2 linked regions of the Mytilus edulis genome follow. The protein of the gene in region 2 purifies or fractionates together with the protein of the main gene of each other region. This does not show direct contact. Links are inferred from orthologs where the notes say so. Each region holds a gene or a part of one and is shown on either strand. Other genes may lie near its edges.

Region 1 (17,548 bases), on a different chromosome or scaffold from region 2:
AACGCCACCAAAAGTGAATGCCAACAAAGAAAAGTACATCCGAAAACATTCAATTCCCAAGGAAAGCTTCAATTCGCTTTTGGATACGCAAGGACAAGAGGAAAGCAGAATAGACAATTCCAACTTAAGTCACAGAGAAAAGGAACATGGCACCGGATGGTTTACTGTATGCCGTAAACGTAAAGGGAAAGCGTCCGTCTTGCAAGACGTCCTCGTTGGATCGCATATCCGTGTCGAAAGGAAATTCTTCAATTAGAACTACAGCCATGGAGTTGGATCTTAGATCGCCGCGATCTCGTCGGAAACACCGCCTTATCTAGGATAGAAGCTGTGAAATACTCAGCCTCCCGTTGGACTACTTCAAAGTAAAACTTTGGACTGTTGTTATATATATATATATATAGCATTTTATTTGTTTTTGATAATGGAATAGTGATGTCAGATAGACCTCAGACGGGGAGTGTTCTGCAAATTCATTCATTATTTATTCTTCATGTGATCATCATTTTATATTTTTAACGTTTCATTGCGTACATCGCTTTATGTGCGCCAGTTTTAGGAGTTTTATAAAGGACAGTGTAGGAATCCGCGTTACTTTCCCCTCTCTTCTAATGACGTAAACTGCTCAGTGAGTCGTGTGCACAACTGCAAAGAACATTCAGCGGACACGTCCAAAAGAACAATTCGTGGCTAACCACAGCGTTAGTTACCTTTAAAACATTACAAATTATGTCTTCACATTAGCGATGAACTGTTTTAATATATTTCTCTATGTTATACAGAAACTATGAACATTTTACCGTTCAAACTGTTCGTATCTGCGATTACACGATTTAATTCAAGACAGAACCCGACGTGTGCAAGAATATTCATATTTTTATTATTATAAAGAACTTTAACAGCTTTATATATCTACGAACTCTCTATCCGTATTTTTAATGGACTTTAATTATCATTGAACACATTGTAAAATTGTATTTATATTTCTATTTTCAGTTTTTCACCATTTGGATTGGTAGTGAAATAAAAGTCAGCTCCTGATTGTTTTATCTTTACTTAAAGGTGTCAGACCACCAATTACTCCCTCCAATGTAGAACGTAAAAGTAGCCCTACTCTGACACAAAATAGTGCTTTTGATGTCCTTGTTTACTTAAACTAGTAACCAACAACTTTGCAGAAATGAAACTTTTGGTGAAAGAGAAATATATCTAGATCATTTTGAGCCAAAATTTACTTGTCTATGACTTTGCATTAAAAATTGAGGATTAATGCGCTCCATAGTATACTAATTTTAGATTTCAAGAAAACCAGGTTTTTGTTTTGGAGTACCTCTGTTTGATAGTCAGTTACTTTGTTAGAAGGCTTTAAAGGTATGGTGAGAATTGGCATGTAGAAAGCTGATACATGTACAATTAAGGATATACCTGGTTTCTATGAAGTTAAACTTAAGGTAAAATATTTAGAAAGCTGTGAAAATTGCAAAATTTGGTTGAACAGATAGGGATTTTTAATTGGTGGTCTGACACCTAAACCCAGTCGTCTTGGTTACACTCACTGGTCAGGCCAGTACAGACATGCTCGCCAAACTGGAACTTCAAGAACTAAAAGCCAGACGCACTAGCCAAAAATTATATTTTTGTACAAGGTGGTTGAGGGATTGGTACCTGCTATCGATCCAGACGACTTTTTAAAAATCAGCCATACCAAGACGAACCATCACAGCGAAAATGTTTGAAAATAACAGGGCAACAAACATAGTGGAAAAACGTGTGAGGAACAATACTAGGTGCTTTGACATTCCCACCAGTAAAACTTAGCAATACTCAAACTCATTCTTTGTGTCCACAGTTATTAACCAGTGCACGACAAGTTAAAAATACTGTAAACAAAAAACACACTTGTATTTATAAGAACGAAAACAAATAACATTTTGTGATGTTTGTAACTTGTGACAACTGTACAGGGTTAAATGTTATTATCCAAAGTTACATTAGAAATTGGATCCATGGCACTTTCAGGTAGTTGGTTCAAGTCAGCAATATGTATTATAATATATATGAGATATCTTATAAAGTATATACGATATATTTGATACTATTATAAGATATCGTATTTACTGAGATACTATGATAAGATATATATACTATATACGATATGATATATAAGATATCTAATAAATTATTTAAGATATTTCATATAATTAGTATAATTAAGAAATCTTATATATTATATAAGCTATCTTGAAATTCTAATAAATAGTAATACGGTTTGCCATATTCAAGTCTTGTAAGAAAAAAGCCAATAATTAATGGTACCACGATTTCCCGAGAAATACGAGAAAAACGTTATATTCCCAAAACAAACTGATATATCCCGAGAAAAAGATTTTTAATGGTGTTATAGGTGATATACTGGTTAAATTCGTGTTACAGCATACAATAATCAGGTTTAAGGCGTTCGTTATTAATAAAAGTACACGCAACCTTCAGAAAATCTTTTTTTTTATGTCTTGAATGCAAATTCCTTGTTAAAAACAATATGACAGACGTTATATCTCTTTAACATTTTTGTCATACTTTTATTTCAAATATAGAATTCTTTACATCCATGAGTTTGATTCCTCTTTATTTTGTGAAAATTATTTTATTTAAGAAATTTTAAAACTACAAACGTACCCTGCACAAGGCACGGGCATACTTTATGAAGTCCGCGAAAATTATTTATTAAATTCTTTATTAACTTTGATCCTTACGGCTCATCAGTATAAATAAGTACATGTACAGTGTATACATATGTATGGCATATTACACACAATATAAACAATATGCATAATAAACAATAGGTGACGTCAGAAGTTTAATCAATACAAAATATCTTTTATTACAATAAACTGTTTCTTAATTTAAAAGAGAAATGTATATACTTTCCTAAGTTACAAAGCTGTTTTGTGTTTTCACCTGACAATAATTCTATTAATTTAAAAGTTGAAGGCATAGACCAGTAATATTTTTTTATATATTTTTTTCGCAAATCAGTATATATATACTACATTTGAGGAAGAAATGAAATTCATCCTCTATTAATACTCCTAAATAACAAAAAGACCAGTACAATATCTTTCATTTCTATTAGTACCAACATAACGTCCAGTTTCAATACAAAGATTATGTGAAGACAAACGAATCCTTGTTATACATTTACGAAAAAGTACAGGAATGCATTTCTGTAAATAAAACCACATACTTATATAATCTACACTTTGCAGAGGAATCTAATAAAAATTGTAACTCTTGGTTGGCTTATCAAACAAACGCTGTCTTATCAAAGGTAAATATGAGCTTTTCTACATTTAACAACCACTGATTATCCCACAAATTATTCATTCCAAGACTATATATCAATCTTTTTACATATGTTACCCAATTCATACATTTTGAACAATTTAACACAAGTTCTCTATTACAAGACCTTAATATACAGTTGTCACTAATTAAAATTTTGAACCAAATTTAAGTATTCTTTAATTACGCTCATACTGCAGTGGAAATCTACCTAATTCAAAATAGACCATCACATTTGAGGTATTTTGACACAACATTTTGCAGTAATCCAAATGGACCTTTTCTACCATAAGAGACTTGTGTACTCCCCATATCTCACACCAATACATTAAAGTCATAAGAAACGAGTGACCGGTGAAAAATAATGTTCGTCCAATTCTTGAACTAATGCATACAAACATCCTAAACTTCGTCTTCTGTGCTCGAATTTATCATTTTTTTCGTGTAAATTTCGTATAATTGTCAATTTTTTTTCTCAATCGGTCAGTGTTGTTGTGAAAATATGGCAGGTAATTAAAGTTCGTGTTTTGAAGCCGAAGTGTAACGATTGTCACCTGTATGTCAACAATTGACGAAAAATAAACAAAAAAGCATGGAAATTGAGCACGTGTTTAACATGTAAATTCAGATAATAGTTTATTTTAAGGACATCCATGCGTATTGTGGTCACCGGATTTTTACGAGATGGGTCACACTGAGGTCACCTTGCATACGGAAAATATGTCGGGGGAATAGCTTGCTGGAAGGAAGCTATTCAAATAAAGTAAACTTCTTCTAAATATGAATAAATTAAAGAATTTTCTTCAGAAAAAAGTATATGTACATAAGTTTTATAATGAAAACTATCCATTGAGTTATAAAAATCATATGCATTATTTTTTTTTGATTTGAGGTTTCTTATGACTTTAATATACTACTAACATAAGTATCAAATAGACTAAGCATTGTAAATACCTTTAAACATAATGATGATGTAGTTCTCCTCATACTGAACATAGCTTTTCTACCTTGTTCTGCACAATGTTTCTGTGTAGTAAGAAATTTACAATTCTAGGGTGTTAAAACACCTAAATAACAAAATTGATCCACAATGTCCATTGTTTGACCATTATAGACCCATGTCTCATTTATCAAAATTTGGATTCTTCACCATCCATTAAATTTGAATTTACATCATTGCAATGCATAGAAAAGTCAGTTTTTATCATTTTGGTCTTTTGTGGATAGTAGTCTCATTGGCAATCATACCACATCTTCTTTTTTTATATTTAATAGAACATGTATGGGAGCATGGTCACTGTATGTAGTAACATTACTTGTAATAAATTTTAAAACTTTTTCAATGTTATTTGGCTTAGCTAATAAGTAGTCGATCACACTCATACCTCCTGGACCACTGTATGTAAAATCATTCGATAGTCCATCAGGGTGGCGCCCATTTATAATTCTAAGTCCACTGCTCTTACACAAGTTAAGTAGTTTTGTTCCATAGTCGTTGGTTCCTGCATCTGGGTTATTACGGCAAGAAAAAGCCTCATCAGCAACATATGTAAACAGATCACCAACCCTATCTAAAATACTATCATGTAATTTATCATTTTGTACATAATCATTCATATTAGCTGTTCTAGCATTTCAATCGCCAATAACAAAAATATTTGGACATTCAGCTGAGTAATGTATCATTTGAGACTCAAGCTCATAAAATAAATCCCATTTATGAATCCTGTAAAAGGATGAGTTGTGTGGTGGTATATACAGATTTGCAATTAAATAGTCACTTTCACATCCAGTCAGTTCTTTATCCAAAGTAAATACAGATACAGATACATATTTAAATAAAGTTTATTCATTGTTATTATGTCTCTGGACAGGTCTTTGTTTTTGTTTTTTGAATGATGCTTTCTAATGTATTATAATTATAAATTTATTTGTTTGTCATTGCTTGAACCTCCTGTGTGATTTTTTTGTAATACAAACTGTAATTAATAGTATTAAAATGTTATGGACCTCAATTGGAAATGAAAAATAAACAAAAAAGCATGGAAATTGAGCACGTGTTTAACATGTAAATTCAGATAATAGTTTATTTTAAGGACATCCATGCGTATTGTGGTCACCGGATTTTTACGAGATGGGTCACACTGAGGTCACCTTGCATACGGAAAATATGTCGGGGGAATAGCTTGCTGGAAGGAAGCTATTCAAATAAAGTAAACTTCTTCTAAATATGAATAAATTAAAGAATTTTCTTCAGAAAAAAGTATATGTACATAAGTTTTATAATGAAAACTATCCATTGAGTTATAAAAATCATATGCATTATTTTTTTTTGATTTGAGGTTTCTTATGACTTTAATATACTACTAACATAAGTATCAAATAGACTAAGCATTGTAAATACCTTTAAACATAATGATGATGTAGTTCTCCTCATACTGAACATAGCTTTTCTACCTTGTTCTGCACAATGTTTCTGTGTAGTAAGAAATTTACAATTCTAGGGTGTTAAAACACCTAAATAACAAAATTGATCCACAATGTCCATTGTTTGACCATTATAGACCCATGTCTCATTTATCAAAATTTGGATTCTTCACCATCCATTAAATTTGAATTTACATCATTGCAATGCATAGAAAAGTCAGTTTTTATCATTTTGGTCTTTTGTGGATAGTAGTCTCATTGGCAATCATACCACATCTTCTTTTTTTATATTTAATAGAACATGTATGGGAGCATGGTCACTGTATGTAGTAACATTACTTGTAATAAATTTTAAAACTTTTTCAATGTTATTTGGCTTAGCTAATAAGTAGTCGATCACACTCATACCTCCTGGACCACTGTATGTAAAATCATTCGATAGTCCATCAGGGTGGCGCCCATTTATAATTCTAAGTCCACTGCTCTTACACAAGTTAAGTAGTTTTGTTCCATAGTCGTTGGTTCCTGCATCTGGGTTATTACGGCAAGAAAAAGCCTCATCAGCAACATATGTAAACAGATCACCAACCCTATCTAAAATACTATCATGTAATTTATCATTTTGTACATAATCATTCATATTAGCTGTTCTAGCATTTCAATCGCCAATAACAAAAATATTTGGACATTCAGCTGAGTAATGTATCATTTGAGACTCAAGCTCATAAAATAAATCCCATTTATGAATCCTGTAAAAGGATGAGTTGTGTGGTGGTATATACAGATTTGCAATTAAATAGTCACTTTCACATCCAGTCAGTTCTTTATCCAAAGTAAATACAGATACAGATACATATTTAAATAAAGTTTATTCATTGTTATTATGTCTCTGGACAGGTCTTTGTTTTTGTTTTTTGAATGATGCTTTCTAATGTATTATAATTATAAATTTATTTGTTTGTCATTGCTTGAACCTCCTGTGTGATTTTTTTGTAATACAGACTGTAATTAATAGTATTAAAATGTTATGGACCTCAATTGGAAATGAATTAATTATCTTATCTCTAGGCTTTAGAATATACATGTCATAAGTGGATCGGTGCGGGACGTTTGCGCTTTTTCATAGTATGATTTGTGCTTTTTATTTTGGACACTTGCGCTTCAAATTATAGGACATTTGCGCTTTTTAAAAACGCACATTTGCGCTTTGTACATAGGACATTTGCGCTTTTGCAATATTTGTTTTGTATGACTATCCTCCTCTTTTATCCGGGCTTGGGACCGGCAGGCTTGACCGTGAAGAGTTGGTCATATTGTTCTTTGTGATTGAAAAGTTTAAAAATCGTTTCATAGCACATATCATAGCACATTGATATATGCTTTAAAGTTTATATACAGCTAAAAGTATATATTATAAAGACATAAAAACCCGTAAAGTCATCACAGGTCAGTTTTTAGTTATTGCAATGACACAATCATCAGTACATCAGTACATTTTATACACGGATATTTCATTTCCTCTGACATTTTGGAAGAAAATCGTAAATTACTTGTTATATGCAAATGTTACTAAAATAATACCAAGCCATTGTCTTCATATTTTTTTTTATGAACAAAATTTGAGAAAATTTTGTATTTTGTATTAAAACAACACCAAGCTTTAGTTTAAAAGGAGATATTTAGAGAAAATTGTACAGTAATAACCGCATTTAATCTTTCATAAGAAAATAATATAATTACTAAAATTTGGAAACATGTTATTTCAGTTAAAAACTTTGACGAATCATAATTCATTTCATTAACAATAACGATATTTTTAACAACAATCAGTTTTTCATATGAATGTAAAATAAAAGAAATTATTCGGTAAGCTTAAATACCCGAATGAAGTTATGATAACGTTGTATTAACTTTTTATAATTTCATTTTTTTAATTGAATCTATTCTTTCAGTACTTATGATACTTTTCTATTCTTCCAGTTCTTTTAAAACTTAAGTTGTCTACCTTTAGAATGTCCGCCATATTGTGTTCAACAAGGATTTTGCATACAAGACATACAAATCGATTTTTTTTTAAATGAAATTACACTTTTATTGAGAAAAAAAATGAGTAATATCTTTAATTAATATTCTTTAATATTGTTAAAAGTAGTATAAAACAATAAAAAGTAGCATAACACCATAAAAAATCTTTTTCTCGGGATATATCAGTTTGTTTTGGGGGTATAATGTTGGTGTTTTTTTTTTGTATTTCTCGGGAAATCGTGGTACCGAATTATTTATAAAGAAAAACTTGAATTGGATGTAACCCGGAAATAAATCCGCAACCGATTTTTTTATTTAGTTTACACTATATCAAAAATGGCCGCTCCAGCAAAAAGTTTGCCGAGAGATGCTCAAATTATGACTGCTATTTTGAAAGATCTTGGTGTTACTGAACATGAGCCACGAGTCATTAATCAAATGCTTGAATTTGTTTACAGTAATTTTTTACCATTCTTTATTTTGCTTGAAAATGTTTTTTGTTGTGTGGTTCTACATTCAATTTTTGCTATGATCATGCTATATCGGCTTCGTCAATTACATAAGAATGTATCCAAAATAACCACATTAGCTGCCACAGCTGCTTATAAGCTAGTCCAAATAATTATGACGTCTGGCAAGGCTATTTTTTTTTTTTTTTTGGGACGCCTACTTATACATTTTATAAGCGAGATGTGCATTTAAATAACCACATACACAGGAACATTTCCCAAATTTAAATGCACTTGTAAATGAAGGCCTGTCCCATTCCTTCCACAGACAAGGGGGCATTTTGCTGTTGTAGAAAAATAATCCCGGGCCCCCATAAAATAGCTTTTTATCTTTTTATCTTAAAACAATGCCAAAGCATGCATGGAGGGGTGATGCTCAGGTGCTGCTTTGGCTCCCAAAAAGTTTGAGCCAGAAAAATCACCAGCTCCTTATTTGTCGCCAGTTTTGAAAACTTGGAGCAAACTTTGGAACCAGCTAGAGTCTTTATTTCTTCTACCAAAATTTAAACAATGTTCAATTTAAATTCCTTATGCACTCAGCCTGAACATTACATCATCTAAAATGTAATACTAAGTAAGTTATTGCATCTAGGGTTTATATACATAAAACAAAACAACATGTGTATTGTTGTAAATGGGCAAATGGTGAATGAATGAATATGTGTGATATATATATACATGTATACGAGTTACCTTTTAGTCGGGAGTATTCAACCAACTAGGTTATCCATCAGGTTTCTAGTTCTAAGTATACGTCTAGACACAGAGGTTGTTTGCAAGTAACTCATTCAAATCGTCAGGTTCCCACTATCAGCTGATCTGTATTTACGGTTTCCGGTATGACCAACAAGACCAAATACCAACTTTATCAATACAACAGTATTTTATTTTGTTATGTCAGTATTTTATATATGTAGAAGAATATAAATTAGTGTATGGTACATGTATGTATATTCTACAGAATAGAGAAAATGTCTTTAAATTTAAAAATAAAGTATAGAACAAATGGATAATTGAATAAATAAAATAAAATAAGAGGTGTTAAAGTTTGTATTAAAAAAAAGAATACAGAAAAAGATGACACCAGTGTAAGAAAGTGCATATTTTATTGTCATGCAACAAAAATTACCGTTAAAGGTCATCTAGCAAGAATTTTTTAATCAGGCCAAAAAAAAATATATGACTTTAGGTTACATCATCAAAATTAATAGGGTAGGTAGGTCGGTATTTCGATTTTATTATTTTTTTCCATTTAATTTTTTACGCCATGATTTTGAGTTGTGTGGTCCGAGTTGTCCATGGGCTGAGTTAATCCGTATTTTTAATGATTGGATTATTTCCCTTGGTTATTGGTTGGAAAAAAATAGTGGCAAAGTTTTTATTTCATTTCATAAGTTGTGAGTTTCCTTAAAACAGCTGTCATATTCATGATTGTGAACATTTGGATGTATCAGGCAATTGATTAAATTTATTGGCACCCCTTACGTCGCTATTGACTCAAGTTCTATTAATTTTTCACTTTACGTCGGAAATAAAATGGCATAGGGTCAGCGCTAAAATTAGAGTCGGTCAGGTAACCGTAAACAGAGATATATTTTTGTTTGGCCTCATGAAGGTACCCACATTACCACCCTTGAACATGTTGAAGAGGAGTCCACTTGTTTTTAATAATAAAAAAGAAATAAGTCCATGAATATTACAAAATTCTATCACTTGAAATGTACCTCTCATAAATGAATTAGCCATTAATATATTGAGGGGTTATTGACTTTGATCAGGAATAAAAAAAAGATGTATGATTAATATAAAAAAGAATGTTGTGATATATCAATCCTCTTCCTATACATCTATATATAGCTAGACAATGTAGAATAAACTAACACACAGCAATATGCCAGATACGCTTAGTAAAACTAAGTCCCAGAGAGGTTTGAGTCCAATGTCAGACATATAGGCAAAAAATAAACATAGCATTGAAGATGCAGATTAACAAAGCACTTACAGCAGTTACTGACAATGTGATATGCCAGCTCCAGACTTCAATTTAACTGATTATATTTCTTAATCATATGAAATCAAGCAAAATCCCTCCCGTAAGGTGTTGAGTATCATATCATAAAATATAGGAAACAAGAATGTGTCCAGAGTACACCGATGCCACGTGTACGCACGCACACTAGCACTATCATTTTCCATGTTCAATGGACCAAGAAATTGGATAAAAAATATAATTAGGCATTAAAATTAGAAAGATAATATCATAGGGAACATGTGTACTAAGTTTCAAGTTGATTGGACTTCAACTTCATCAAAAACTACCTTGACCAAAAACTTTAACCTGAAACATGCACTTTCGTTTTCTATGTTCAGTGGAGCGTGAAATTGGGGTCAAAAGTTTAATTTGGCTTTAAAATTAGAAAGATCATATCATAAGGAACATGTGTACTAAGTTTCAAGTTGATTGAACTTCAACTTCATTAAAAACTAACTTGACCAAAAACTTTAACCTGAAGCGAGACAGACGGACGAACGAACAGACGGACGAACGAACAGACAGACAGACGAACAGATGCACAGACCAGAAAACATAATGCCACTCTACTATCGTAGGTGGGGCATAAAAACCTGTATCATGCTAAAAGCTGGTGTTAGAAAACCAGTAAATTTGTTTATTTACTATGCAAAGACCTTATGAATGAATAAATATCAATACCAAAATATGCCATCTCTAATGACCTGACAATATGTACAGTATCATAACTATATCCCTTCTGAATAAGTCTTTTGGTTAGCTTTATGGGTGAATGCTGACAATTTTGTGCTTTGTATTGAATAGTACATTGTACCATAAAAGATTGGATGTGAAATACTTGAACGTATAACATGCCTGCATGTTGATTTATGTTTATGAATGATGTCCTTGTACTGATGATACAATTTAGTAAATGCTTTGACAAGTTTGTGATACCTAAAACCCTGCTGTAAATTTTTTCAGTAATACAGAGATTTCTTTACTTAAAAAAAATAGTAGGACATTTGATGGTGTTTGAGTAATCTTCATTGCATTAAATCAGAATTGCATCTCTATAAAGACAACAAAATACCTGTTAACTATCAATACATGTATACATTTTAAGAAGGGCAATGAAATATAATTAGGAGCAACATTCAAATTTAGGGCCATTTATATGTCTTGGTAAACATGTATAAATTGAAATACATTTTATACATACATGTAGTGCCAATATCTGAAATGTTTGAGTTCATTGAAATTATTCATAGAGGCCAAACAATGGATCTTTTTTCAAATACAGCATGAACATTAAATAACAAACAAAATTAAAAAAACCTGACAATAATACTATACACATGTACTATAAACAGCAAAATAATTATTGCTGATATCATAGCTGAGGCTTTTCAAATTTATCTCCCTGGCTAAACTATTTTCGAATACACAAGTTATCTCCCTTACTACATACATTGCATCAATGAAAATTCAAACTAAGAAGACAATACAGTTAATATAAAGTAAATTAATAATGTTATGAAATATATATTTTTTTAAGACTGATTCACATTCATACATGGACATGGACATCTGGTTAACAGCCAAAATACCTACTGATTCACATTCATACATGGACATGGACATCTGGTTAACAGCCAAAATACCTACTTTATAATGCCATGATAAAAGGTTTTGAAATTGTTATAACCAGAATGAAGTGCCTGTTCCTAAATTTTCTAGATTTTTGAGTACAATTGTTCTCCAGATAAATCTCTGTGAGACAGTTAGCAAAATTACAAATAATAATGCTAAATGGATTAAATTTTGTCATAAAGGTCAACATATCATAATAATATTTAGAAGCAAATTATCATTGGAACAAACCAACATGATAACTCTAAAAAGTTATTATACCCCACGCAACGAAGTTGCGGAGGGTATAATGTTTTTGACCCGTCCGTCCGTCAGTCCTGTTTCTTGTCATCACAACTCCTCTCAAACCACACAACAGAATTTTACGAAACCTTTTCAGATAATAAGGACATACTATGTAGTTGTGCATATCGACGGGAAATTGCGATTACATTTTTTTTCTAGGAGCTACACCCCTTTGAACTTATTTACTTTAATGTACTACTGTAACAGTTTGTCTCCGCAACTCCTCTCAAACCACACAACAGAATTTCACGAAATCTTTTTATATGAAAAGGACATATTATGTAGTTGTGCATATCGACAGGAAATCACGATTCAATTTTTTTTCTAGGAGTTGCACCTCTTTGAACTTATTTGCTTTAAGGTACTACTTCAACAGTTTGTCATCTCAACTCCTCTGAAACCACACCACAGAATTTCATGAAACTTTGTAGATAATAAGGACATACTACGTAGATGTAAAATTGAGAAAGGAAATGGTGAATATGTCAAAGCGACAACCACCCGACCATAGAGCAAACAACAGCCGAAGGCAACCAATGGGTCTTCAATGTAGCGAGAATTCCCGCACCCGTAGGTGTCCTTCAGCTGGCCCCTAAAATATGCATAATAGTACAGTGATAATGGACGTCATACTAAACTCCGAATTATACACAAGAAACTAAAATTTAAAATCATACAAGACTAACAAAGGCCAGAGGCTCCTGACTTGGGACAGGCGCAAAATTGCGGCGGGGTTAAACATGTTTATGAGATCTCAACCCTCCCCCTATACCTCTAGCCAATGTAGAAAAGTAAAAGAATAACAATACGCACATTAAAATTCAGTTCAAGAGAAGTCCGAGTCTGATGTCAAAAGATGTAACAAAAGAAAATAAATAAAATGACAATAATACATAAATAACAACAGACTACTAGCAGTTAACTGACATGCCAGCTCCAGACCTCAATTAAACTGATTGAAAGATTATGTCTTCATCATATGAATATCAGGTACAATCCCTCCCGTTAGGGGTTTAGTATCATACTATCATAAAATATATGAGAAGAACATAACCCGTGTCATGCCAACAACTGTTTTTTTAGAAATAAATGTGTTTAGTTCCGATGCAAAGACCCTATCAGTGAATCAATGTTAAAGCCAAAATATGCAATCTTTAATGACCTGACAACAGTATCGTAACTATATCCCCTTTTAATAAGTCTATTTAAAGGTTTTGTTAGTTTCTGAGGAGAATACTGACATTTTTGTGCTTTATAAAGAATATTTCCATAAAATTTTGGATGTGAAATACCTGAACGTATAAGATGTCTGCATGTTGAGTTATATTTACGAATTATTTCCTGTGCATATCAACAGGAAATTACGATTCAATTTTTTTTCTAGGAGTTATGCCCCTTTGAACTTATTTGCTTCAATGTACTTCTGCAACAGTTTGTCATCTCAACTCCTTTGAAAACACACAACAGAATTTCATGAAATTTTGTAGATAATGAGGACATACTATGTAGATGTGTATATTGACAGGAAATTATTATTCAGTATTTTTTCTTATACAATTTTTTTTTCTTAAACTTATTTAATTTCTCCAATGACAATGTGGGGACGTGGGGTATGTGAGCACTAAGGTTCTTTAATTTTTTTAAAATTTAAATCATGTACATCATGTACATGTAAATAGAAAAAAATTGATTGATTAAAAATATTTGAAGTAGGACAGAGATCTGCTGGAACCCCTAGACTCCTTTATTGTCATCAGAAAAAAAAAAACAGAAACCATATGTTGTATAAATTAAAAATATGTATCATTATCTTTGACATACATGTATGAGAGCAACCTTTGTCTTGCAATTATATTCTTCAATGTATCAAACTATTTAAGCTTTATAACTTACATTTTGTACTACATGTATGACAATCATGTGCAAATGAAAAAAGAAATTCATTAAAAAAAAATGATGTATCGACCAATGACTGAAATGAGTGATAATTAAATCACTTGTTCTAGCAGTATCCCTGAATGTTTACTGTTAATGAGTTATAACACTTAGATTTGGACCTTTAAATTTTGATAAGGTGATAATGAAATGAATACTTACCAAAATCTATTCAGATTTTAAAACAATATTCATGATATTATGAAACATAAAATGCAGATCACATTCAGTTTGAATTTTGGTGAAATGCATTTCCAGTTAAAAGTTTTCTGTCGGTGCAAATGTGAGTAGCACTGTGAAGGATAATTTTATGGTCACTGTACATGTCTCTCCTTTAGTCCCATTTTCAAAATAAACTGACAGCTTGATAGAAAGCTTGCATTCAATGTACATGACAGTAAATTCCAATAAATTTTCCTCACATTCCCTTGACCCTGCTATACATTATATTGGTTTAAAAAAAAATATGGGAATTGTGGAAATTTGACCATTTTCTTATTGTATTGTACATGCTGTAATTAAAGCAATGGCATCTTGGGTACTCTAAGTAACTCCTGGAGACTGTTTGACAGAAAGCTCACGAACTTGATAGGATTGTAGATTTTGTAGTTGGCCATATATATATATAATATCATTATTTAGATCCTGTCATGTGTACAGGAGTTATGGGCTCCTCAGATAATGTTTTACAGAAATCTCAAATTGTAAGAAAAAGAATATGTGGTGTGATTGCCAATGCAAATATTCCATTATCTAACTGACACACAACTTTATCTATAGTGTTAACTATAAACTTTTTCTTACATTCATTTTGACATTGTAATTGTCAAAAAGTTGATATGAAAATTTGGGGACTGAGGAGGCAATACATATACTAATAAACGAGAAGACCTCGTTTTGTGTGTCGCTTCTCTTCCTTCCACACTAAATTAATCATCATGCCTCTGTGTCCTATAGGTACCATTTATAGTCCCATTTGTCATCCATTCTTATGATTATTCAGTTTGGGTTATTTTGGGAGAAAAACGGAAAAAAAATGCGTGTGAATATTTTTCCATCATTGGAAGAAATTTTAAGTCATACTAGACATCCGGTTTGCGTTTTTTCTGTACTTTGTACATACCAAAGACTAAATAACGTGTATTTGCTATCTGCTATCATTTCCAAGTTTACTATCCACGGCGGTCACTGAGTTTATTAAATAAAGAGGGTCTATATAATATGTCAATGACTGCCGTGGATCGATTAGAAAATTGAGAGTTGATAGTAAAAAGCAAATACACTTTATTTATAGTAATGTATGTTCATAATATACAGATAAACGGTAACATTATTGAAATCAATAGAAAAAAAATTATAGGAGTTTTGGAGGAAAAAAATAGGAGCCGGGCTAGAAAAACAATTGTCATGTCCCAAAGTACATTTGTACCTAAAACTTTTGATACCTTTTCTGAAATTCTTTAGTCATAAACTCTTTTACAAAAATTCATGGGGTCACTAAGTAATAACTGTATATTAAATAGAGAGAGTCTATATAATATATCAACATACCCGTAGCCAGGGGGGTTCCGGGTGTTCGAAACCCCCTTGAAATCAAATAAGCACTGTTAAAGTCAACGTTTTGTTCATATTGTGACTGTTAAAGTCGAGTTCATGAGTCCAACGAACCCTCCCTTGGAAATTCCTGGCTACGGGCCTGATCAATGACTGCTGTGGATTGATTAGTTAACTGGGAATTGATAGTTAAAAGCAAACACATTTTATTTATAGTAATGTAAATGTATGTTCATAACATACTAAACGTATGTTCATATTGAAATAAATAGAAAACAAAAAATTGGAAATTTTGGGAAAAAAGGAGAAGGGGTTGAACATGTTGAAAAACAATTGATCCTGTCCCCAAGTACCTATAACTTTAGTTACCTTTCCTGAAACTCTCCAGACATTAATTTTTTTTACAAAAATTCATCCTACAACACTTTACATACTTAGCTTTCAACCAGCTTTCGTGGGTGTGTTCTAACATTTATCATACTTGCTTAAAGTATTTCAGTTTGGGTTATTTTGGGAGGAAAACGAAAATATAGACGTCCATTTATTGTTTCTGGCCTGACTTTTTGAGAAATATAAAAGACTTCCGCTGCCCTTTAGGCCTGTTTTGAAATTAAACATAATTTGCAAAAGAACTTGGGACAGAACAATTATTTTTTTGCGTTTTTCTGTATTCTATGATCATACATACAATGTATACTATAGCTTTAGTGTATTTGCTATTTATATATATTATCAATTCCAATAGTTTTCTATTCACGGCGGTCACTGAAATATTTCTGTATACTACATACATATACTATGAATAATTTGTATAAATTTGCTATAATTTACTATAAATTCCTATAATTTACTATAAATTCCTATAATTTACTGGGGTGACTTTTAACATGTTTAATATATATCAGTGACCATTTATATGGTAATTATAGTATATATATATATATGTATGTTCATAGTATACAGAAAAACCAAAAAAGAATAAAAATCCATATTTGTAAAAAAGGGGGAGGGCAAAAAAAAAATGTGCCAAGTCTCCAAGTACCTTTGACTTTTGATACCTCTCCGGGAATTCTCCTGTTTTATTTTTTTTTACAGTTTACATACGCTCCTTTTCCCCGCGATTTCGCGGGTGTGTTCTAGTTATATTGATTGTTTGAAGTATGTGCAGTTAGGTACTTTTTTTATATATACATGTATATGTAAGACATAATATAAGTTAATATTTTTTATATGTTAATGGTTTGCATTTTTTTAACTAACAGGATATGTATCTGATATATTAGACGATGCCAGAGTATACTCCAGTCATGCTAATAAGAAAACCGTTGATGCTGATGATGTCAAGCTGGCCATACAATGTAGAATGGACCATTCCTTTACATCACCTCCACCAAGAGATGTAAATATACTTATAATTTAAAGCGTGTTATTGCCGGTAGGGAGTTGGGTTATGTTGGCATATATCTTTGATACTCTATGTTATTCTCATAGACCATTAGACCTGAACCCATAATTTGGACACTTGCTTGTGTGGTTGTTGTGTGATTGGGTAACCCGGTTGTTTTTCTCATAGATCATTAGACCTGAACCCATAATTTGGACACTTGCTTGTGTGGTTGGGTTGTTTTTCTCATAGATCATTAGACCTGAACCCATAATTTGGACACTTGCTTGTGTGATTGGGTTGTTTTTCTCATAGATCATTAGACTTGAACCCATAATTTGGACACTTGCTTGTGTGATTGGGTTGTTTTTCTCATAGATCATTAGACCTGAACCCATAATTTGGACACTTGCTTGTGTGATT
Region 2 (17,571 bases):
GGTCAATTTAAATGTTGGCTCGGTACTTAAACATCCCGTTGGTGTGTTTGTATTGTCTTTCATTTTTTGCTGGTGTGTTTTGTATATAACTTTTTGTATTTCGTTGGTTCTATTACGTGACTCTGTACTTTAAAAGATCCCGTCAGTATAATATTGTTCTATTTTATGTCATTATGATACATTTTTAATATGAATTACAAAAAACGTTGGACCACAACCTCAAAATTATTCAATCGCGTAGTGGAATGAACTATTTGTGGATTCTTATAAATTCTATATAACTTTAGGACTATTTCAAATCTCTGTCTATTTCTGAAATTAATTCTTACATACTTTTGATTTTTTAACCCTGTATGCTAACATTGCCTATGTGAAATTTTAAAATAGTTTGTATGTACATTGAACGACAAATATATGTGACGTATAAAATTTTCTGACGTCAGACACGCGAATCAATGAATGAGTTTGTACATAGATGTTTTTGTGTTCTGTTAAATTGTTCCTTTTAAAATTGTTACACGATGATGACTGCTGTACCTATACTTTGACTATTTTATTTATTATATCTGTTTAGTTCACACATCATTGTAAATATAACGGAATTTGATGAGACTGTCATCAAAGTGAGAGGGTTAGCGCTATAAAACCAGGTTTAATCCACCATTTTCTACATTTGGAGATGCATGTACCAAGTCAGGAATATGACAGTTCTTGTCCATTCGTTTTTGATGTGTTTTGTTATTTGATTTTGCCATGTGATTATAGACTTTCCAATTAAGATTTTCCTCTCAGCTCAGTATTTTTGTGATTTTACTTTTCAATTATGAACTGACTCACTCAATATGAGTTCTGAAATAGCTTCATATTGTGGAATTTTTAAATCCAAATATATGTCAAATAATTTAACATGTTATCATGCATGCGATGGAAAACTGAAACAAATTAATCCAACATACATCCCACAATTAGAGAAGAAAAGACAGTACAGTAACCCCCCAAAGCAAGCAGTTTTACGATATATAAAATAGAAATGAACAGATTTGTTTTCAAGTCTTGGTCAGTAAAAATTGACAATAAGTTTGGCAAAATGAGGCATATAAATCGTCAAAGGAGTCTTGAAAAGTACATTTCTAAAACATTAGTTACCATAGATGTGTTTGTACTATTAATGCAATTATTTTTGAACATATGAATCAGGTCCTTTTTTGTAAGTTTAAAAAAAATCCTTCATACATATTACAGGGTTTCCCAAGGTCGATTTTCCTTAGAAAAACAATATTTGTTAAAGAATAAATCATGTTCGCAACAATGCTATTTTTCGCAAAATAAGAAAGTGTGATTGTCAACAGAAACCCTTCTAAAACAAACATAACCCAGAGACTTGAGACTTAGCATTCAATCTTAGTCCAAAGACCAAAGAAAATGACACACTCTTACCTCACCATCCACCTTCTGTATATAGCATAAGATATGTTATAACAATGAAGTAAGCATTTATTTTGACCTCTTAGAAAAATAACTGCAATGTTTGTCATTATTTTATAGAGTTCTAGAAAAAGCTGTAAAATTAAGCCTTGATGATGGAAACAGCATTGATTTCAATACATATTAATATGCATAATTTCAAAGATAATTTTCAAATAAGATTGACCTGACTGACAAGTTCTCGACTTCTCAGAGTGATTTAGCACTGGTACCTATATATCTGTATCTTACCTGGCCTGGTCTGAATTCTGGGAATAGTTCAGTAACATCTACATTGGATAACTCTGGTGGTCTCAGTGAAGCAAGTGGTGTATGATACTTGTTGGCAGAGTTTTTATCAGGGGAGGTAAATCCAGCCTCATCCTCAGCCTTAGGAGTTTTTGGCAGCCATGATGGAGGTGGCATAAGTCTAGAATCTTTATCTTCATATTCACCTGTTTCATTTCCTATAAAAAAAAAAAAGAACATGTCTGTAAAATTACAGCATTATTTGATGGTTCAACTCAACTTATATAAACTATCTATGGCTGCAAATATCTTTTGGGGATTTAACTAGGTAATACTGGGCAGTATGAAGTGCTGGTCTGGAGTCTTTTAAATATACTATATTAAATAAATTAGAAAATTAAATGATAAATAACAAATCACAATTCCCATTTATAAATGATATAAATAGTTGAGGTTCAGATAAAATTTAACATTTGACAGTTTTATAAATCATAGGTATTTTTTTTTACATAATTGATTGATTTGATCAGTCTGTAATTATAAAAGTACTTAAATTAAAAATGTAGTTTTGAACTAAATGTAAAAAAATTGAACTGTCCAAACCCTCATGGGTATTCCACAGGATTTAAAACACTGCAGCAATAGTAATACAATTAATGATAAAACTTGAATATACTAGTGTTCTTTTTGCAAAGAATTATTCAGAGACAACAAAGCACAGGTATCCTCATCTATTTTATAATGGAACTGCTAGCCATTAAGCAATCAAAAAATCTTGCTTTTACTGACCTTTATGCAAAATTCTCTTTGAAAACAATGGATGTGTATAAGGTTTTATGTCAGTACATGTATATAAACAGTTACTTCCCTTGAAAACTCTTTATACAGGTATTTACTAATTAAATGTTATGGCAGCAACCAAATTAAAATACAATTACTCTTTATTTTAGAAATACTAAAGGATTTAAGTTTCCAAAGTTATATGTAATACTGTTAACATAAATGTACAAAACTTATTTTACAATCAATACTTAACACTCTTAAAATCTTTATATCAGATTGTATACGGGGAAAAAACATGCCAGAGCAATAGATAAACTAAAAATTAGAGTGCATTTCGCCTGCTAACTATCATAAAATTGAATTTTTAAGAGTCAAAGACTCAGTATTATCGCCATTTTGTGTATTTTTCCATAGAGCTTTTTTTGTGATAATTTTTTATATCATGCTACTCGCTTGAGATGGAAAATTATTGCTAGAAACTTAGGAGTCACATGGTTTTGCTAATGAAATTGACATGAAATTGACAATGTTGCCATAGGTAAAATAGCGATAAACAGATCATCATTGGCCATCTCAATTCAATTGCTTTTCTCGGTTTCCCCATCCCGGCTCAAGTGAGAAAATCAATCTCGTATCAACAATAAATATAATCTATAAATATTTAAATTAATGATGTTCATGGACTTCAGAATATTTTTACCGATACTTGTTATTGACAGGTAAGTAGATATTTTAGATGAACAACTTAGACCTATCGGACACAGAGGCCACTTTATGGGAATGTGAATACCGTATATGAAGATGTGTGTTATACAGCAATAATAAATCAACCAAATGATTTTGAAAAAAAAAAACTTCCACAGAGCATGCATTGTGACCATATATACAAAGACATCATACAAACCAACAAATGCAAATGATCGCTGTTCTTCGTCCTCTTCTACAGTCTCATTTATATCAGAGTAGTCCACTGCTGTAGAGGCTTTGTTACTATAGTTATCTGAAAATATACATTTTACAACTTTATATCAAACTTCTGCAAATTGACACAAGGATCTGTTTATATTGAATCAACAAGATTATGCTCTAATGTGTCACTGGCTTGTGTGTTAATGTAGGTGTAAACTGTAAATAAAGTCAGATAAGATCTATAACATTAAAATATATATATATTGGGTTGGCACTTATCCATTTTTCTGACTGTATGGTAGTATATCTTGTGTTGTTTTATTGCCCCCTTATTGCTGCTCACAGATTACAAATGTATTTTTTTTTATCAAAGCATCAATCATGTGTAGATATTCTAAAGTAGTTTATAGATAGAAATATATTTATCAAAGTAAATGAACTATCAGTTTGCAAAAATCATTCATGTAATTAATGTAATTTCACTCTTTGAAGCCATTGTAACTAAATTAGCAAATCCCTAATTGACAACAGCAAATACTCAATACAGCACTGTTATTCCTTGATTACCTGCTCCATCTAGTGAATCACTTCTGTCTCCGTCTTCTGAATCAGTGATCTCTTTCACCATGGACCCAATACCACCAAGAAGTTCAAGGGATCCAAGATGTCTCTTTGATTCCTACAAGAAAAAGGAAAATTTCCATTATTTCTAAAATAGCAATTCACTGACAAACTATGTATCTACAAGAGTAAGACTTATTAGTCAATCTTGCAAATTTTTACATGATAAACAACTAAACAAGAGACATATACTGCAATAGTTGTTTCAAACTTCAAATGCTTAAGCAAGTCATTACTGAGAAAGGAAATGGTTCCAAGAAGAAACAAAAAATCACTTAATATTTTCAACACAGACAGAAACACTACATATACATGACCTTTTGCTTTACGAATGGTGGACTGATTACATGCAGATACATCTTACCTCATCTAGAAAATCTTCATCAAGCTCTCCTTTGGTGTCAATGTTACCAAACAGAAACCCAGTGAGAGAAATAGACTTGTCCTCATCATCATCATCCATGATGGAGGCTGTAAAATAGTTTAATAATACATAATTCAGATATGACTTCAGTATGATGAGAAAAAATATATTCCTTTTTTCAAAAACTGAAATATTGCCAGCCCTAATGTGTTTTGATTTGACGAGACCAAAATGATGTGTGACATGGTTAGCAGCCATTAGAAACTGAAGGTGAACAAAAGAGGGCAGCTGCTGTAGCTAATTACTACATCATAAATTCAGTGATTAGGAAACAATTAAAATGTATTAGAAACCAAGCTTGAAAGAACAAGGAGTAAAAAAAACCAAGCTGAGCCTACAGAAAAATGCAATGAAACATGTCCTTAAATGAACAAAGTATTCTCACAATGGGAAAAAAAAGTAATTGAGAAAATAGACCTTAAAGCAGATAATAATATAAATAAACATACATAACTTCTCTTGATTATGTGAATATTATCGAAAATGCAATGAAAAATATCAGGTCAACATTTTTTAAAGTAGCATGTTGCTGATAATAAATACTTATGCATGATGTCAAGAGTAAAGTAGAAATGCTGAAATGTCACAAACTTGCAGTTACAAAAAATGTATTTATGATACATATGCTGTACATTCAGAAATTATTGCGAGGTTTTTATTATTGCGAAAAATGTGACAGGGTTATACTATAGTCATACACAGCTACTTTAGAACAAGTAATCTTGATGTACAGTTCTAAAAATGTACATCTGTAAAGCTGTATATAATCTGTACATCTGTAAAGCTGTTTATCAACTGTACATCTGTAAAGCTGTATATAAACTGTAAATCTGTAAAACTATATATAAAATGTGGATAGATATCGTATCACACAAGATGCACTGGTAGAAACTATATGTTTAGCTTATACACAGATTTACAAATGTGCAGTTAATGTACATTTTTACAGAGTTGCAATTTATATACAACTTTAAAACTGTACAGTTTATATACAGTTTTACAGATGTACAGTTTAAATACAGCTTAACAGATTTACAGTTTATCTACAGCTTTACAGATGTAAAGCTTATATGCAGCTTTATAGTAGAGTTTAAATACAGCTTTACAGATGTATCTGTATAGGTACGTTGTAGCTACCAATTCTGGCTTTTATACAAGGAGAGTGAAGGCGCCGTCGATTTATAGACGTTTCGCGAGAGCAGATTTAAAGCTCTCCACACTTGTTGCGCGAACAATAGTGTCTTCTAGATGGTTCCAATTTACTATTGTGGACACAAAGAATGAATTTGAATGTTGCAGTGTTTTACTAGTAGGAATGTCAAAACACCTGGTATTGTTCCTCACTTGTTTTTCAACAATGTTTGTGGCTTGATAGTTGTCAAACTTTTTAGCTGTGATGTTTCGTCTTGGTCTTGCTGATTTGAGGAAGTCGTCTGGATCAATAGCAGGTACCAGCCCCTCAACCACCTTGTACATAAATATAAGCTTTTGGCTTGTGCGTCTCAATTGTAGCTCTTGTAGTTCTAATTTTGTAAGCATGTTTGTTATGCAGCCATCTTCTCTAGTTCTGTAATCGCCTGTTATAAAGCGTGCTGCTTGTCTTTGTACTCGTTCTAGCTTGTTTGAGTCTGTAATACTGTAGGGGTCTCATACTGTTGCTGCATATTCCATTGTAGATCTTACTTAAGGAAATGTAAGCAGTTTTCTTACATTCCTGTGGGCAGTATCGTAAATTTCTTCTGAGGAAGCCTAGGGTTGAGTTTGCCTTTTTGGCAACGTTTGTTAGATGAACATTTGATGCATCTTTAGAACTGTACATCAAGATTACTTGTACTAAACAGCTACAGAAGCTGTGTAATAATTTAAACAGGATTTTTCTCAATATAGCAAAAAAAATTAAATCCCATTTAAGTCCAAAATTACCATTGATGACAATAATAAATGCATGCAATAATTTCTGAATTTACAGTCATGACACTGACAGTACTCAGTAGCTGCTTTTACCAAAGGATCCCTGTCCACTATGGTTAGGGTTTTTTTCTAAACAGTTTAGGGCTAGTTTTAGGATTAGGTAAGTTCAGTAAAGTTATTTACAGTTGAGACTCATAATTTAAAGTAAATAAAGACCAATAATTCTATATTTTTGGTGTAAGATGTCATAAACATCAAGAAGGTAAAGATTGAACGTTTTAATGATAATAGCATTCGTATCTTAAAGACAAACTTACTTTCTTTGTTTCAAAATGTTACATCACTAATGTTTTTAATTTGTAAATGTGCCTGTCGGTGTTTAAATTGTACTAGTTAATTGCAAACAGCTATTTTCATGTATTTGATGTATTGAATATTGACGGATGTCGATGGCGCCATCTGTGAGACGATAAAAATCTAAAACCAATTTCGGAAAAAGACTGTCTGAAATCCGTGTTATTAGTGTAATTAAATAAATGGAATTCGCTTGTCACCGGTAATCAGACACCGATAGTATCATACATTCACTGACCATACAAAAATACACTGGACAATAAAATAGCAAAAGTAAAAAAAAAAAAATTAAATAGTTGAAAATAAAAAAAAATTTATGCAAAACACTTTGTTTGTCGATATTCCTTAAAATACAATTTTAAAGACAAAATAAAAAAACCATTCAAAATTAAAAGCTTTATACAGTATCTAAAATTTGATAATAAAAAAAACATTATTAATGCCTGTGGTCGTTGAGATAATCCCTTCTTTAAAACGTTACCCGTAGGCCGGATAGGTGTAGGTGTAGACGTCGGTATTGAATAATTATCTGAATTGTTTAATACGGTAACCAGCTGATACCATATATCGATAAAAAAATATATACATTTTGTTAGAAAATACCGTATTCATAAAATCGTAGCCGGTGCCTTCATAAATTAGTGCGTACACCATTTCATTACCAAGAAGTTGACCGTAAACGGATTTGGCCTAATTACCCACATTTGATAATTACCACTGGCACATATATGCCTTGAAAAGTTTTATATTCCAGCTTCCAAAATTAAATATTGTCCATACTTTTATTAAGTACAATGTTTACCCAGTATTGAAAGGCAAGGAGCGCAGCAGTGGTTGGACCATAAAAATACATACGCAGACAACTATGACCATACGCTTATGGTCCATAATACCATAGATGTCATACCCATACGAGTTGGACCATATACATAAAAAAGCTACTCAAATAATAGCAATATATATATCGGAGAGCAATTTTATCAAATTCCACAAGTACAACAACACTTCCACAATAAGCACTACTATTTTGCATAAATTATACATGTAAAAAACTTTTCTGTAAATTGAAAGAAATCTATGAGATAGAGTTTTGAAATAATATACGACTAGACAAAGTGATGCCCTCGCACTCCACTCAGAACAGGGCCGTAACCAGCCTCTTTTAAAAGTGAGGCAAAATATAATCGCGAAAAATTGTGAGAGTTTCCCGGGCTCTTTCTTACATTGAAACGCAATTAATTTTTAGCTATTTTTTTCGACAATATTCTGGTATGAAAGCAAATAATATATAGATTCATTGTACATGTTGTAATTTCAGACTTTTAGGTTTTAGGGACAACATAAAAAGATCGATATGTAGGAAAAAACCAAAACTCGAAATTATCATAATCATTAATACCGAATTTGTATTTTTGTCTTGTATTGTGTTTAGACTTTGGTGATATTTTTTTATAACTAGATTTAAATATAGTGACAGTGCAGTATTATACTTCAAGTACTAGTACTGCTTAAGTCGACACTAGGGACCATCTTGACCTTGTTTTTGGTTTTAATTAGTCTTTCATTGTCAAAGGCCCTCCAGCGACTATCATGATGAAGAACAGGAATAAAAACCCTGACCATTGATGATTTGTATTTTTTCTATGCATTGACTTTGTGTGCGATTAAGTCCCGTTTACGATTATTCCATTTCCTTTATTTTATTTTAAAGTTTCTGAACACGACTTAAGGTAACGCAAGTTTAATACTTCAAGGTAAAAGATCATATGGCAATACATTGTTGTTTTTTTCACTGAATTTATTTTTATACCGGGAGATGTGTGGTCTTACTTTAATTTAAATTTTAAACATGTCAGCTTTCTAGTTTTATCTACAAAAAAGAGCCAGTTTTGTATATATTTTTTTTTTATAAATTTCAATTCTCCTTGAAGAAACGTCGACCAATTTTCTGTGTCCAATAGCATCGTATCTTCTTAAATTATTTCCTCGCACCTTCTGGACATCGATGGAAATGCAACATTGCCAAAACACACATTTACTAATGAAAATCAACACTTAGACTATAATCAAAAAGTAGGACAATAAATGAACAAAATACAAACCTGGGTACAGATACTAGTAAGATACATAAGTACAAACAATAGACCATCAACACTGAAAACGAAAAGCAAAATAGAAATATGGATCCCGAGAAACATGCAGGGGCGACACCAGAGAGTGAAGAGAACTTGCTTCTTGCAAGACACTTGCCATGAAAACAATTTGATATATTTTTTTTTAATTTTCAGCATGAGGCATTTGCCTCAGTTGCATCCATGTAGTTACGGCCCTGCAGAAGTAACTGTATTATTATTAACAAAATAAATGTAGGACTTTCTTTGAGATATTTCTGTGTCCGAGAGACACAATTGATGTCCCCGCAGATGCAAAGAGTTATTTAAAAAAAAAAACTATAGCATTAATCCGCATATACCATAAAAATAACAAAGTTCAACTGTCACCCAAAAGAGCAAATATTAATAAAAAAAGTAAAACACTGAACACAATATATATGTACAAAGAGACACCAAAGTGAAAACTTCCTAGGATTCAAACTGTAGGAGGAGTTATGCTAAATTACTATATACCCACAATGGGACGGACGGACAGACAGAAGAACGGACGGACAGGGGTAAAACAATATGCCCCCAATACAAGAATTATCTCCCCTTAAATCTTTAAATGGCTTAAAAAAAAGTTGAGTTGAACGCTTAAATATATTTGTTGTTTTTTAAAACATTTCAAATAACAGAATACATCTCATATATTTATCTTTATTTTAACAAGCAGTCTACTGTGAATACATTTATTTTCGTGGGTACTAATTTTCGCGGATTGATGAGAATCTGCATTTTCCCTGATATTTGATTTCTTTGTTTTGCCAATGTCTGCTTACAACCCTATAAAATATTTCCAGTTTATTGAACTTTTAAATTCGTGGTTCACCTGTACCCAGGAAATCCAGGAAAATTGGTATCCAACGAATAATAATGAATCCCCAGTAACTCATAAATTATCAATCTGTCTCAAAATTATCAAATTGAAGCAAATAACTATTACGTCCCGCTATTTCACGATGCGAGCTCGAGATAGCAGTATAAATTAATCCGCCTTTAAAAAATGAAGTAAAAAAACACTCAAACTACTTTATGCGTCCGACGCGCTTTTCAGCATTTACATTTTACCAGGAACACTCAAAGCCAAACATTTGAAAGTCCAGGATGTATAACACCCGAACTTTTGTAGAGCTATATGACAAAAAGGACCTATAATAGTAGTCACATCTATCTAAGGTAAACAATGCACGAATGAGTTGGAACCGAAGTTTCACAAATGCATTTATGAACAATGAAGGGAGAAATTAAGACAGATTTGTAAGTACAGAAGCACTGACTTCTGAAATAAATTTTATGCGTCCGAGGCGCAATTATTTCTGGATTAACCTTGCTCAGGAACGCTCAAAGTCAAAATTTGAAAGTCAAGGATATAAACGTAGGAAACTTGAGAAGAGCTATATAATTATATCCGATTACAGACTATGCCTTTTTAAAGAACTTTTGATCTCCTAGTATCAAACAAGTAGCAAATCACAGCTTGTTCATATCAAGGTTGAAGGAAAACTACAACATCCAATTAAAATATCAACAAAATCAAAATCGTTTGTCATCCACTCGAGTGAGACATAAATTTAGATGTTACTAAGCCGATTGTTGTCACTGTAAATGTAAAATATAAGTATAGTTTCTGCAGAGCATTTACTTACGTCTTGTATTATATTAGATACTACCCAGTAAAAAGACAAATTAACATCATTTATGATCAATGAAAATGAATCTAATACCAGCAATACTTGATCTAAGAGTTCAGAATAAACCTTTATGAAAATTAAAGCATTTAGTCGGTTGTTCAGCATTATATTAATTTTACAGAAAGAATTGTCTAATAATACATTTAAAACATTTATAAATCTCACTAATGTCAATCAATCTCGATATTGGCTATCATAGATCTGTTATAAACCTTCCTTGTTAAGTTCAACTTGGTTTCAGTACGCGAGGTGGATTTTCGCTCATTGAACAACACGAACATGTAAGATGTATATGCTTTGCTTCGCACAAAAGAATTACAAATTGTTTGACAGACAACCAGACCGTTTGTAATTTTAATACAAACGCATTAAATCAGAAAAAGATACAACAGAAATCATTGGCATGGGCGAAACATGGGAAACAGCATTTAACGAACTAGATAAAAGACTCGGATCAAACCAACAGAAGTCAATTTAGTTGCACACAGAAGCTAGTAGTATATGAGTAGAAGAAGTGCTAAATCAGGAACCTGAGGGTTAGCAACTGGTCATTGCGTTTTCAGTCGTCGAAGATTGCATGCACATGGTTTAAAGACATAACCCAACCCACATACTTAAAACTTGGCTTCGGAATAGACAGTAAAGGCAATTTGTATCATAATGTCTTTTGAAATCCTATGGTGTGTTTACAGATAACAACCCGCTCACATATGTTTTGACCACTGAAAATCTAGATTCGAAAGGCAACAGGGGGCTATAAACGTTAGCTGCATGCAATATCGACGTTCTATATCGTGCAGTGTTTCTGTTGTTCCGTTGTTTTCTTCTTGTGGTTGATGTGTCTCCCTCGGGTTTTGTTTGCAATCCGGATTTATTTTCTTTCAATCGATTTATGACTTTTGAAAAGGGGTATACTACTGTTGCCTTTTCAGTAAAGCAAAACTCAGAAGCATATGCATTGTCACGATTTCATAAACTAGATGCGAAAACCATATATATGTTAGTTTACAAAATTATGAGCCAGGTATTTTTTTTTATAAGTTTTTATATCTAAGGAATCCATCGAGGACATTAAATTAGCTATATCAGCACCGTATGTTGTTGGATACAAGTAGCATTGTAATGCATATGCAGAATGTAGATTCTATTAACTGGGAACAGTAGCAGCGGTAGGATTCTGAAATTCGACAGTTTGTGAACTTGTAAAGTCTGATATGGAACTGATAAAAGAACAACTACCACCTAGTATATTGCAAAGACACTTTGATCAGCTTACGATTATAGATAATGTAATCATACTGAGAGATAGGCATCGATGACGGATATATCAGTCAAATAGTTTAACCAGCAACTCATGTTCATGTGGTTTTTAAGTACTACATGTGAGATGTATTATCCTGGCCGCGAACACTCTAGTTCTTTAGTGCGCGACATACAAAGATGGCCATCCATATCCGCAGTCATAAACGAGAGGATACACCAAGGCGAGATATACTAAAAGAAGGAAATACATCTTGTGCCTTTAAAAAAAACATCGTAAAAATCGATGGATATATTTTGTCTTGATTTCCAAACATTTGAACCATCAAAAAGGAAGAAAAACAAAATATACAAATGTACTACCGATAACATTAACCACACACACAAGCAGTGACTATATGGAAACAGATATAGAACAGGAGCATTATTTAACAGCTTTATGGTATATCATGGAATACATATCAGACTACTCTAAAGACCAAAGAGATAATTTCACTTCGGTGTTGACATGAATATCAATAATGTGGTCATTTTTTTTTTATAAATTTCCTGTAAACAAAAGTTTAAATTTTTCGAAAAACTAAGGATTTTCTTATTCCAGGCATAGATTTCCTTAGCCGTATTTGGCACAACTTTTTGGAATTTTGGATCCTCAATGCTCTTCAACTTTGTAATTGTTTGGCTTTATAAATATTTTGATATGAGCGTCACTGATGAGTCTTATGTAGACGAAACGCACGTCTGGATCGAAGGCAGCCACAGAGAATTGTTGAGTAGAAAGTGGGTTTTGACTGCGAGGACAAGGGGTACAAGATTGCAGAAAGTAGAATATCAGTAGGTTGTGAACTAGAAGCGATTTAATGTAAATAAATAAATAAATAAAGGCAACAGTAGTATACCGCTGTTTGAAATTCATAAATCGATTGAGAAAAAAAAATCCGGGTTACAAACTTAAACTGAGGAAACACATCAAATATAAGAGGAGAACTTGAACACAACAGAAACACAACACTACAATGTAACACACACAGAAACGAACTATAATATAATAACGGCCATTTTCCTGACTTGGAACAGGGTAGTTAAGAAAAAGTGATTGTTCCTTTCGTGATCTGTATATGTACCAAATATATGGAAAACAGTGTGTTTTATGATTCATAATTTTTTTTTCCTTCAATTTTCTTGTCTATTTTTGACTGTATAGTACTTAAATGTAATTTTTATACAAAACGCATAAAATTAGTTGTTTTTATAACTAGATTGGAACAGTCAATGCAATTAGAAGTGATACTAGCAAAATTAATAGTAGCAATTTTATGTGTAATTTTATAGATCTGTCAAATTAATAAAGCAAGACTGTCATTTGAAAACATATTAATGAGTTCTATATCCATTTTATCAAATCTATTAGAATTGGGGGAGGGGGGACATCCGATTAACTGGTAGGCGTTTTTGGTATTCGATAATCGATTCTTCCGACAGTTAACCAGTTAACCCATTAAACGTTAACAACACTAGATATAACATTATCATTATAACTACAACCGTCAGTTTTAAATTGCATACGTATCAGGTGACTTTAAACTGATATTATTTATGATAACAGTTGTTTAACGATGTTCAAATCTCATAAATCGATTAAGAGGAGACGAAACAAGATGAAGAACAACAACCGCGGTAACTCTAGAAAGCGAAACATGGTGCGTCGTCTTGTTAAGTGGTCCTCTATGTTTGTATCGCCCATTATGCGAATTTACACTCAATTAAAATGTCAAAATAGGGAACATGACAAAATTGGTAAAATAACAGACCAGACGACGGTATTGCATGGTATCAAAAAATCCAAGACCGCGAAAAATACCGCTAGTAAGCTGAGACTCCGACACCATATTAGTGATGGTTATTGTAAAACTTATTAGTGCGGTGACGGAACAGTTAAAAGTCGATTATTAACAGAGTTTAATTTCACTTTATGGTACACGGCTAAAAATTGGTCTATATCTAGAAAAATGATTTTAATTTAATTTTAGACTGGTCGTCAAAAAGTCGTATTGTGCAGTTTTTTTAAATTTGTCGTTTTGTTAGCAAAAATGACATAAAATATGAACTCTACGAGGCATGCCATTTTGGCCGGTTTTTTTAAATCGTTGCAAAATATATGTATTTCTTATAGGATTTAAATATTACATATAATATGTTATTTATTAAGCAGTAAAGCTAACATCATAAGTCTTTTGTAAAAAAAATATGAAGATACAAAGCTTTAAAACTTTGGACATTTCGTCGCTTCACCGGATTTCAATACTTTGCAAGAACGCATTAATCTTTAAATTATGAACTAACTTATACAACGTGAAAATTCAGAAAATACTCTTTTCAGTGACATAATTTTTTATCAAATAAAATTTCTCAAAAAGACTTGAAATAGCATCCAAAATATTCACTATCGAATTACAATCTTACTTAATTTTCCGGAAAGTCGTGTCAGGTACGGCTCAGATCTATTATTGTTATCCTTATTGATTTTGAACTTCAAGCGCACCATATGTTCGATTACTAAATAGCAATTATCACTTGATATTACTTGTATTTGTTAAAGGTTCTTGGTTTCTTAGTTTATTTTGTTTGTTGTTTTCTATTTTGAGGTTGTGTTAATAAGGTTTAATTCATTTAAGAGGAACATTTGGTTTTACGTTGGAAGTTATTTTTAGAAATTGAGATCTGGCCAAACCCCAAAAGATGGCATAACAAGGAAGTCCGTTGAAACGTGGCCCTAGTTGTGCAAAGCGAATGAAACCAAGTTTAGTCTTAGAAAAATGTATTATTTGCCAGAAAAGCAGTAATGAAACAGTTGTACCAAGTCAGGAATATGACAGTTGTTATCCATTCGTTTGATGTGTTTGAACTTTTGATTTTGCCTTTTGATTTTTGATTTTGATTTTTGAATTTTCCTCGGAGTTCAGTATTTTTGTGTTTTTACTTTTTATTTACTAATAACAGTAAATCGAGGTTTTTTGCTGCATTTGGTAAGCGTAAAGATGATATTTACATGAATTTGATAAGTGAGTATGATTCATTCAGTGATATACCGAATGAAAGTCTTGAAATGGTTTATCATAAAAGTTGCTACAAATCGTATACAAGTGAACATAATATTGCAGTGTTTACTAAGAGACAAAATGATGCATTAGCTGGCGGTTCAATACAGGACAGTCCAGTCACGTATCTTAACTCGATCTATGTCTTCTCCTACCAACTGGAGTGCTTGTATATTTTGCAATAAGAAAAGCTACAAGCAAGACAAAAAACTTTTTTAAATAGAATCAGATGACAGGGTTACTCGCATTACCATCGCTGCAAACTATAACGGTGATTTAAATTTGCTACATAAAATTAATCAAGACAATTTTAAACAACAAGTTTTTTACCATAACCAGTGCATTGTAAAATATCTAAAGTCTTCAAATAAAGATATTGAGGTCATTGGTAATTCAACTTCAGAATATGAATCAATAAATACAACTGCTTTTTCCAAATTAATCTCCAGCATAAATGATGATTTATTAAAAAATAAAAAAGCATTTCTATTATCCTCTTTAATTGAGAAGTTTGTTTTATACCTACCCGAAAATATGCGTACAAGCTTTACAACAAGAAAACTGCAGCGATATTTGGAAAACCATTATGGTGATTCTGTTGTCATTCAATCACAACAAGGTCAGGGTAAGTCCAACATTATTATGAGTAGCAATATAACACTAGGGGATGCAATCAAGGCAGCCAGTAATTTGAAAGCAGAGTTAAAATGGTCAAATGAAAAACGAAAGAGTCGTATGAATAACGAACAAACGGATGAACAACTCCTTTATTCAGTAGCAAGTATAATACGGAGAGACATTAACAAAGTAAGATTTTGTAAAGAGCACTATCCAACTTCAACGGAGGTATCATTCGATAATTCTTTACAGTCAATGCCCGATTCTTTGGTCAAACTACTAAGTTGGATTACAGACGAAAAGGCGTTTAACACTTGTACTGTTCCTTCTGATATCAAAACAGAAAGCGTGAGGAAAAGTTTGGCTTTAACGGAATGTATTGTTGCAACTAGTCGTAGTATCATGACACCTTTTCATCTTGGTCTTGCTATTCAAGTTTACCACGAGTTTGGGTCGAAGCGTCTTATTGAAATTCTAAACGCGCATGGGTTTTGCGTTACATATACTGAATTGCGGAGATACCTTACCAGTGTTGCAAACCATGAGATCAGTCGTATCAGTGGCGATCGATACATCCCAGGAGGTATTCGCCCCATTTCAGAAGGAGGTCGATTGATTCAAGAGGGTTCCGATAATGTTGACATTAACGCCGAGACAATAGATGGGCTAGGGCTGTATTTCAAAATAAATCAGCTGGCGTTCATGACTATGGTTTAGAACGAATCAAGCGAGGAATTGAGAGATCGTTGACTATAGATGATACAACAGCATCATTGACCGATGCTATTCCGTACCTTAAACCAAAATGTAGATCAGAACCTCCACGACGATCGGATGCATATAAAAAGTTATGATGTTGACCAGATATGGGTGTTCTCCAGACTTTTGTCGAGGGATGTCATAGAGTTCCCAATCGAAATAAAAACGAATGAACAAAAGATTCCTTTTTAGACAGGGTACAATTGTCTTTTGTCTACAAAGGGCGCCGATGTTACAGTTGTAGCATATCCTCCAATTATAGATTCTAAACCGAATGACATGGTCACAGTGTATACTGCCATGAAGAAATGTCTTGACATGTCTAATGAAGCTGGACAGGATTTCGCTATTCAAATATTTGACCAGCAACTCTATGCAATTGCTCAACAAGTCAAATGGTCCAAACCGGACATTGTTAATCGCCATATTCTCAGACTTGGTGGTTTCCACAGCTTGTCGTGTTTCTTAGCCTCTATCGGGAAACTTTGGGCTGATGGCGGTCTTCGCGATTTGTTGGTGGATTCTGGTGTGTATGCTGGAAATACAGCTGAACTTATGTTGAATGGCAAAGAGTTTAACAGGGCTGTCAGAGGGTTCACGCTTGTGTCTGAAGCCCTACAAGTTCTTTTTATCTCAGCATTTATACACTGGTGTAGGACCTTTGATTACTTCGATCAGATACCATCTGCGTTCTGGAATGTGTTGTTAGAGTTCCATACCAGTATATGGGACCAAACGGACCAAGCCCCAGAAATTAAAACTAGACTGGAAAAGTTGTTTGAAGACCATGTACAACCTCGAGCTCTTATCTGTATGTTCAAAGAATTGGGACACGATACATCACCTACTTTCAAATATTGGGACATGTTCCTGGTTGCCGTCCAAATTATGTTGTCAAATGTACGAGCAGAACGAGAAGGTAATTGGTCGTCACATTTGATGTCCTCATCCAAAATGCTGCCCTATTTTTTCATTACCAACCGTACAAATTACTCTAGATGGATGCCTATATATATTCTCGATATGCTCGAACTACCAGCAGAGATCGAATCGGCTTTTAAACTAGGAGAATTTTCTATCAAACAAAAAATAGGCACATTCAATGGTATTTGGAGTGATATGGGCACTGCAAAAACGATCATTAAAGATTCAAAGGGTTCAGGTGGTATCGTTGGAATTAGAAATCAGAAATCTCCTCTGATAAGATGGACTCTGACTCGTCATTTATTAGCGTCCTTTAGTACTGCAATTAATGACAGAGCAGATATTACATG

Evidence for each region.
Region 1: the proteins of transcription initiation factor TFIID subunit 1-like (region 2) and transcription initiation factor TFIID subunit 9-like purify together in Drosophila melanogaster (affinity purification with western blotting; 3 studies listed by BioGRID, with this or other methods). This does not show direct contact. The link is inferred for Mytilus edulis from reciprocal best matches to the Drosophila melanogaster genes Taf1 and Taf9.

The regions. Positions count from the first base shown.
Region 1 is NC_092346.1:100,407,872-100,425,419, reverse strand, and holds the start of transcription initiation factor TFIID subunit 9-like, read left to right. Parts: upstream 1-8,100; 5' UTR 8,101-8,130; coding exon 8,131-8,251; intron 8,252-17,003; coding exon 17,004-17,140; intron 17,141-17,548. UniProt on the Drosophila melanogaster protein: TFIID is a multimeric protein complex that plays a central role in mediating promoter responses to various activators and repressors.
Region 2 is NC_092351.1:17,067,076-17,084,646, forward strand, and holds the start of transcription initiation factor TFIID subunit 1-like, read right to left. Parts: upstream 6,847-17,571; 5' UTR 6,679-6,846; intron 4,498-6,678; 5' UTR 4,490-4,497; coding exon 4,391-4,489; intron 4,085-4,390; coding exon 3,973-4,084; intron 3,497-3,972; coding exon 3,401-3,496; intron 1,932-3,400; coding exon 1,717-1,931; intron 1-1,716. UniProt on the Drosophila melanogaster protein: TFIID is a multimeric protein complex that plays a central role in mediating promoter responses to various activators and repressors. Largest component and core scaffold of the complex.